Linked DNA regions of Rattus norvegicus. The main gene of each other region encodes a partner of the protein of the gene in region 2 in a complex. Links are inferred from orthologs where the notes say so. Each region holds a gene or a part of one and is shown on either strand. Other genes may lie near its edges.

What was found. The genes of interacting proteins can lie anywhere in the genome.
Region 1: Zbtb8os (region 2) and Fam98b share a complex: the UniProt entries of both Homo sapiens proteins name them as parts of the tRNA-splicing ligase complex. The link is inferred for Rattus norvegicus from reciprocal best matches to the Homo sapiens genes ZBTB8OS and FAM98B.

What each region holds. Positions count from the first base shown.
Region 1 is NC_086021.1:124,615,705-124,619,006, reverse strand, and holds the end of Fam98b (protein FAM98B), read right to left. Parts: intron 1,685-3,302; coding exon 1,277-1,684; 3' UTR 732-1,276; downstream 1-731. UniProt on the Homo sapiens protein: Positively stimulates PRMT1-induced protein arginine dimethylated arginine methylation.
Region 2 is NC_086023.1:146,963,003-146,966,829, reverse strand, and holds part of Zbtb8os (protein archease), read right to left. Parts: intron 2,248-3,827; coding exon 2,223-2,247; intron 1,251-2,222; coding exon 1,129-1,250; intron 995-1,128; coding exon 912-994; intron 1-911. UniProt on the Homo sapiens protein: Component of the tRNA-splicing ligase complex required to facilitate the enzymatic turnover of catalytic subunit RTCB. Together with DDX1, acts by facilitating the guanylylation of RTCB, a key intermediate step in tRNA ligation.

The DNA.
Region 1 (3,302 bases), on a different chromosome or scaffold from region 2:
GCCTCAGATAGAGAAAAGACAGACGTCACACATAGGAAAATGTCACTTTATAAAGGTAAAGGGGAAACCCCGTGTTAGGATGAGGTGTTTAATTTTAGTTGGACAGGTTAATTAGGTGACCCAAAGGGGGCTTTTGATTGCTGGACTTCACTACCTTGATAGCTGGACCTTCGTAGTCAGCCTCAGAGGAAGAAGTGGCCAAATAAATGAAACATACCTTGGTAGCAAGCTTCAGGAACAGAATCTTAAGCTTTTAGCAAGGTGGAGGGAATGGGAGAGAAAGGCAAGGCATGCAGAGCCATGCCTGCTGCGCTCAGGCCAGCCAGAGTCGTCTATCTACGCATGCATGTGCACGCACACTTTTATTCTCAACTTCATGTGCCTCTGGCTTTTTAACTGAGTCTACTTAGTGCTGTGTCTGTGTGCATGGGCCTTAGGACATCTACTAGAGAGATCATAGGTAAACTCATGTCCCACATCCTGACTCAGCTTCCCCCAGCGTCTCCCTCAGGGAGAGGGTAGAATTTTGTCTGGCTTGATCTTGCAAAGTTATGTGTTGTGTGCGTGCTGTCACAGCTGCTGTGAGTTTGTGTGTGTAACTGCCCTGCTGTGTCCAGACAAGTTTCATTGTAGGTACCCACCACCTCTAGGTCATACAACTTTAACTTAGCCATTCAGTCAGTCACATAGGTTCAAACTCAACTGGCAAATAAGTCATGTGCACAGTGAAATAAAGAAGATGTCTTCAGTTAACAGAAATTTAATAAAAACCTGACCAGAGGAATTTCAACCAATTTTAAAAAGGACAACTGACTACACACACATTAGACACTTCCTCTATTTTGTAAAATAGAATTAACAATACAGGACAGATCCCCAAGAATACAAACGACTCGAGTCTAGATTCCTTTCTGTTACTGGCAGGTGTCATATGTGTTTCAACCCTGAACAAAATACCAGTTTACAGTCTAAATTCAAACATGACAATAAAATACATTCCATTTTTCCAAGTTGCTGGTAATAAATATTTACATTTTAAAAAATAGGTTTTGTTTTTGCCTTTTAAAAAGACACAGCATGCTTTAGTACACAGAATATGGAAAAAAATCATGTTGCAGGATCATCACCCAGTATATAAAATGGCCTTTTGTATTCAGGAAAGCCTTCCTCGGGGGCACTAACATGATCTACCTCAGGGTGATGTTCAAGTATGTTCCTCAGAACACTATATCTACTGCATCTAGTAGGAAGCAGTGTTCTCTAACATCTGCAGGTATCAGTATCTTCTATACCCACCCCCACCACCTCCTCCTCCATACGGATCTCCATAACCTCTCCCACCATAACCCCCTCTCCCACCATAGCCCCCTCTTCCACCATAATCTCCCCTCCCACCATAATCTCCCCTGCCTTGGAAACCTCCTCGGCCACCCCCTCCCCCACCGCTTCCTCCCCACCCTCCTCCACCTCCTCCTCCACCTCCTCCTCCACCCCCTCCCCACCCTCCTCCTCCACCTCCCCATCCACCTCTTCCTCCCCCACCACCTCCTCTACCACCCCCTCCACCTCCCCAGCCACCCCTCCCTCCGCCTTCTTGTCTCTTCTGCCAAGGGGGCATTTCAGGGGGTGGTGGTTCAATTTCATTTGGCCGTCCTCCCCTGTCTGGAACCCTTCCCATAAGCACCTGTGTGAAGACAAAAAGTTTTCTTTAAGTTTTATTTTTCAAAGTTAAAAATTACAAAGATTTTAAGTGATATTAAAGTTATTTATAAATAAAGAGGCCAAATCTTTTAAATAACAGAAAAGGGTTGAACATGGTATGAACTAATACTGAAAATGTAAGTGCAATGTTTGACAAATCCTTCAGAGTATGGTATCACTTTTAAACAAACTAAAACAGTATTCTTAAAGGTTGGTCTTGTCAGTCTTCTCTCATTTAAATTTGTTTAGCAGAATTTGTAAGTGTGGTATTTGTTACATTAAGAACTATTTTAACAAAATGTTTTTAAGACACAGACTGTTTAACCTACATTAGTCAACCTCATATTCATCTATTTATAAATGAGAAACTCTGGACATCCCACAGCGATAGATTTGGTAATGGTTATCAAATAAGACTGCATTCCTCGGTACACTGCAGTCTACCAACATATAAAGACTATATAGTGTGCAGTTAGGCACAACGGCAATCCCAATATGGTTTGTAGCCATTTTCTCCCATAGGGAAATATTCCATTCTATAGAGAGCTCATTAATAAAGGATATAAATGACCCTAAATTGCTTCAAGAAGTCCCTGAAACTGACCAGACCCACTAGGTTGCTCTTTCCCTAAGAGAAAAGAGTTTAGGTCAGTGATACACGTACTATATATTATTATAGCATAGACATCCTAACTCTCAATACAAGATGCGAAATGTTTCACAGTTCAAAATGTTTTAAGCACCAACATGATGGCACAGTGAAAAGTTCTATAAATGATATCATAGTTTATGCAGTAGAAGCACAGGGACACAAAATATGTGTGTGTGTTATATAATACACACACACACACACACACACACACACACACACACATATAATTGAAATCTTTAATTTTAAAAATACTGTAACCTAAATCTTTATTAAATATCATTTAAAACTCAGCACTTTGGATGAGGAATAATAAGCGTGTATGCAAGCGCATGCACACAAACACCGATGCCTCTCACTGTGCTTTTAACAATACTTGGAAGGATAAACTAAGGGAAGCATTGAAGTTTCCACCCTCCACAGACATACTCTGTGCTGCATACCCATGACAGAGTGAAAGACCATAGGTAACTCTGGAGGATGTTAGCCCTGCCCCAGTCCTGGCACAGCCAAGAGGAATCCAACAGAAGAAGAAACAAAATATTCACCATTCACCAAAGCAACCAAAGAGTCAGCCAGACTGCAATGTCACTGCTAGTCAGAGCCACACAGTAAGATGGCATGGACTGGAGACAGTGAGCAAGGGTTCCCGCACAGGGTGTGGGGCGTGCATGGGAGGCACTGGAGGGCAGAGAGGCACAGGGGTTCATATAGTTAGATTATACTTTTAAAAAACATTTTTAAATGCACAGAAGTTATGTCACAAATACTAAATTCTGTCAGGCACAGTGGCCTAGGCTTTTCATCCCCATTCTTGGGAGCCAGAAGCAGACCAGCTGGTATCTGTAGGTCCAGGTTACCTGGTCTGCAGAGTGAGTTTCCAGGCCAGCCAGCAATACACACTAACCCTGATATTAACACTGATACATTCTCACTATACAGCAAACTTCCC
Region 2 (3,827 bases):
ATGTGGACATGAATACAGCTCACAGGTACACTGCCCCGCCTCCCTACTGCCCCGCCTCCACACTGCCCCACCTCCACACTGCCACTGCCCCGCCTCCCCTCTCCTCCCCCCTCCCCCCCCTTTTTTTTTGGCAAACTGGGCTGGACTGGAACTCAGAGTTCCTCATGCCTCTGCTTCCCGAGTGGTATAATAAATAGCGTGCCCATCATGCTGGCTCAATAAATATTCTCTCCACCTCTTAGTGATATCCAACATTTCACAGCCAGAGATGTAAGTAAGAGAGAGAAAGAGAGAGAGAGAGAAAGAGACAGAGACAGAGACAGAGAGAGAACGAACCTAGTCTAACAGGTTAATCAATCAATAAGGACCTACACGGAGCTGGAGAAACTGCTCAGCAGTTAACAGCACTGGCTGCTCTTGCAGAGGACCCAGAATTGATTCCTAGCACTACTGTGAGTCACAACTGTTTGTGAGTCTGGTAGCAGGGGCATGTCGCCCTCTTCTGGCCTTCATCGGCACTGCATGTACTTGGTGCACAGATATGCATACAGGCAAAACAACTATAAACTAAAAAGAAAACATTTGGCTTTTCCATGTGTGGGAGCTTGTAAATAAAGAGTGTGAATGTGGGGTTGGGGATTTAGCTCAGTGGTAGAGCGCTTGCCTAGCAAGCGCAAGGCCCTGGGTTCGGTCCCCAGCTCCGAAAAAAAAAGAAAAAAGAAAAAGAAAAAAAAAAAAAAGAGGGTGTGAATGTAAGAAAAAATTCTATTAAAAACCCTGGAATTTATATAATTCAACATTACCTCACATATCTCGATGGACTGGTTTTGGATCCCATGCCTTACCTTTTTAAAATGTGAACTAACAGTCTACTTGCTCAGGAAAAAAACCCAAGAAAACCCTGTGCTTACCCGGGGTATGAAGTACTCATCGGCACTGAACCTGTAAAGCCACTCGTCCAAAAAGTGAAACAGCAGAGACTGCAAGTCGTCTCCTACACAGGGTCAAAGGGACCAGGACAGGTGATGTTAGCAACGTTCATGATCCACTGAGGGCCACTCTATACTCAGATCATACAGAATAATGTACTCTCCTGCCTTAACTTTTCCTTGAGAATAGAGCACTTACCTTGGGTTTCCACTTCCACTGTTTGGAGGGGCTCCACAGTCCCGGTGTCTGTCATGTAACCAAACATGGCCATGGCACACTGTTCAAATGCTTCCTCCAGGGTGTCTCCCCATGCATGTAACCTAAAGTTAAAGAGTTTAAATTAAACCAATAAAAGGGGCCTTGCACACACACAACTACAAGACAGAAAAATCCCACAATGAAGCAAAAGAAAATCAGTTTCATAAATATAAACTAAATGCCTAATTTAACCATGCCCAAATTACATTTTTTAAACCATCATTTCAAATTTAAAACAACCACATAAAAGGAGAAAAACAGAAATACACTCGGGCCAGAAGGTGAAGATACTTGCCATCAAGCCTGACACTGTGGTGGAAGGAAAGAACTGACTTCTGACCTCTGCCCATACACGGTGGCACTCATGTCTTACACACCCAGCCCACAAAATAAAATGTAAGCATACGCTGGGGGCACACTTTTGATCTCAACACTCAGGAGGCAGAGGAAGGTGTACCTCTATGAGTTTCAGGCTAGCCTGGTCTATAGAACAAATTCCAGGCCAGCCAGGGCTACACAGTAAGATCCTATCTCAAAAAAGAAAAGATGGAGAGCTGGGGGGCTGGAAAGATGACTCAGTGTTTAAGGGCACTGACTGCTCTTCCAGAGGTCCCGAGTTCAAATCCCAGCTCCTACATAGTGGCTCACAACCATCTGTAGAATGAGATCCAATGCCCTCTTCTGGTGTGTCTGAAGAGCAACAGTATACAGTGTACTTACAAATAAACAAACAAACAATAAATATATAAGAAAAGATAGGGGCTGGAGAGATGGCTTAGTGCCTAAGTGTATTGGGTCCTAGCCTCGGCACCCACATGGTGGCTTATATCCATTTATAACTCCAGTCACACCTGATAACCTCTTCTGATCCTTTGGGCTTCAGGCACACACATGGTACACAAATATACACACAGGCAAAACGTCCACATGCACAAGAAAATCAGATAAATCTTAAACATAGTTAAATTTTTTATTAAAAAAATTAAAGCATTCATTCTAAAGACATTTTCAAGAATGACTCTTGCTATACTCACTGGACATCAGCTGTATGATCCAAATCTGAGGGAGAGAGGGGAAAATATGTGTAAATCACTGAACTTGACTCCAAGTCCTACAGAAATAACACTAGAGAACTGACGGCAGCAGACAGAAAGAGCTCTACTCACCTGCCACTCACTAAGAACATCATCCTAGCTGGCTCGCACCATAATCCTAGTACTTAAGTGGCTAAGGCAGGTAGAGCATAGATTCCAGCCCAGCCTAGGCTACTAAGACAACCTGGATACACAGTAACAACCCATATTCATTCACTCATTCATTCATTCCTGAGTCAGGGTTTCTCTGTGCAGTCCTGGATGTCCTGGAACTCACTCTGTGCATCAAGCTAGACTTAAACTCAGAGATCTACCTGCCTCTGCCTCACAAGTGCTGGGATTGAAGAAGTGTGCTGTCAGGGCCCAGCAATATTACTCCATCTCTGAGGGGGACAGCAAGGGGATGGCTCAGTGGCTAAAGCTTGTACTGGACCACATAGTGGAAAGAGAAAATTGACTCCCTTGACTTCTCTATGTATACTGTGGTGCATATATATATATATATATATATATATATATATATGTATATGTATATGTATATGTATGTGTATATGTATATATGTATATGTATGTGTATATGTATATATATAATATATATACTCATCCCCCTTCTTACACACACACACACACACACACACACACACAGCTTAGTAGGTAAAAGTACATGCTGTGCAAGGCAATATGACATTGAGAACCCATGTTAACATCACACACAACAGCACAAACATCTACTATCCCAGTACACTTATTACAAACTGGGGGAGGAAACAAGAATCCATAGACTGGTAGTTTTCAACCCGTTGGACGATAACTTGTGGAAAGTACCACGACAGGAGGCTTTCCGTGTTTTGTTTCATTTTGCTTTGGTTTTAGTCACAGGGTCTCCCTGTGCACTCCAGGCTGGTCTGGTCCTCCTGCCCCAAGTGCTAGGGTTACACATGCCCAGCTCCTTCTAGGTATCCTAAAACATCTAAGTTGTGCGCACCAATGGGTCCCTGCAATCCCAGTTTGAGTTTGAAGCTGGATAATCACTTGAGCCCAGTTCAAGGCTGCCCTGGGTGACACAGCCAAGTTGATGCTTGTCAGCTGTCTTACATATTGGCCTCTTGGTAAACATTTCCTATCATCAGTTACTTTTCCTGACTAACTAGCCCAATTCTGAACACTAAATAGTTTAGGAAGGCCGGGGGCTGGAGAGATGGCTCAGTGGTTAAGAGCACTGACTGCTCTTCCAGAGGCCCTAAGTTCAATTCCCAGCAACCACATGGTGCCTCACAACCATCTGTAAGGGGATCCGATGCCCTCTTCTGGTGTGTCTGAAGACAGCAACAGTGTACTTATAAAATAATTAATAAATAATTAAAAAAAATAGTTTAGGAAGGCCAATTCCACAGGCTGTGCACTGAGTGTTCCCACAGGACAGACAGACCTCAACAGCTCTACTGCATGCCCCACGGCGACCGTCAGTGCCTCCTTTTTCGTCTGTCCTTTGCCTCGTCCATGGTTTATATCAATTCTTTCCACCCATTTTGCTTTGGGCTGGGG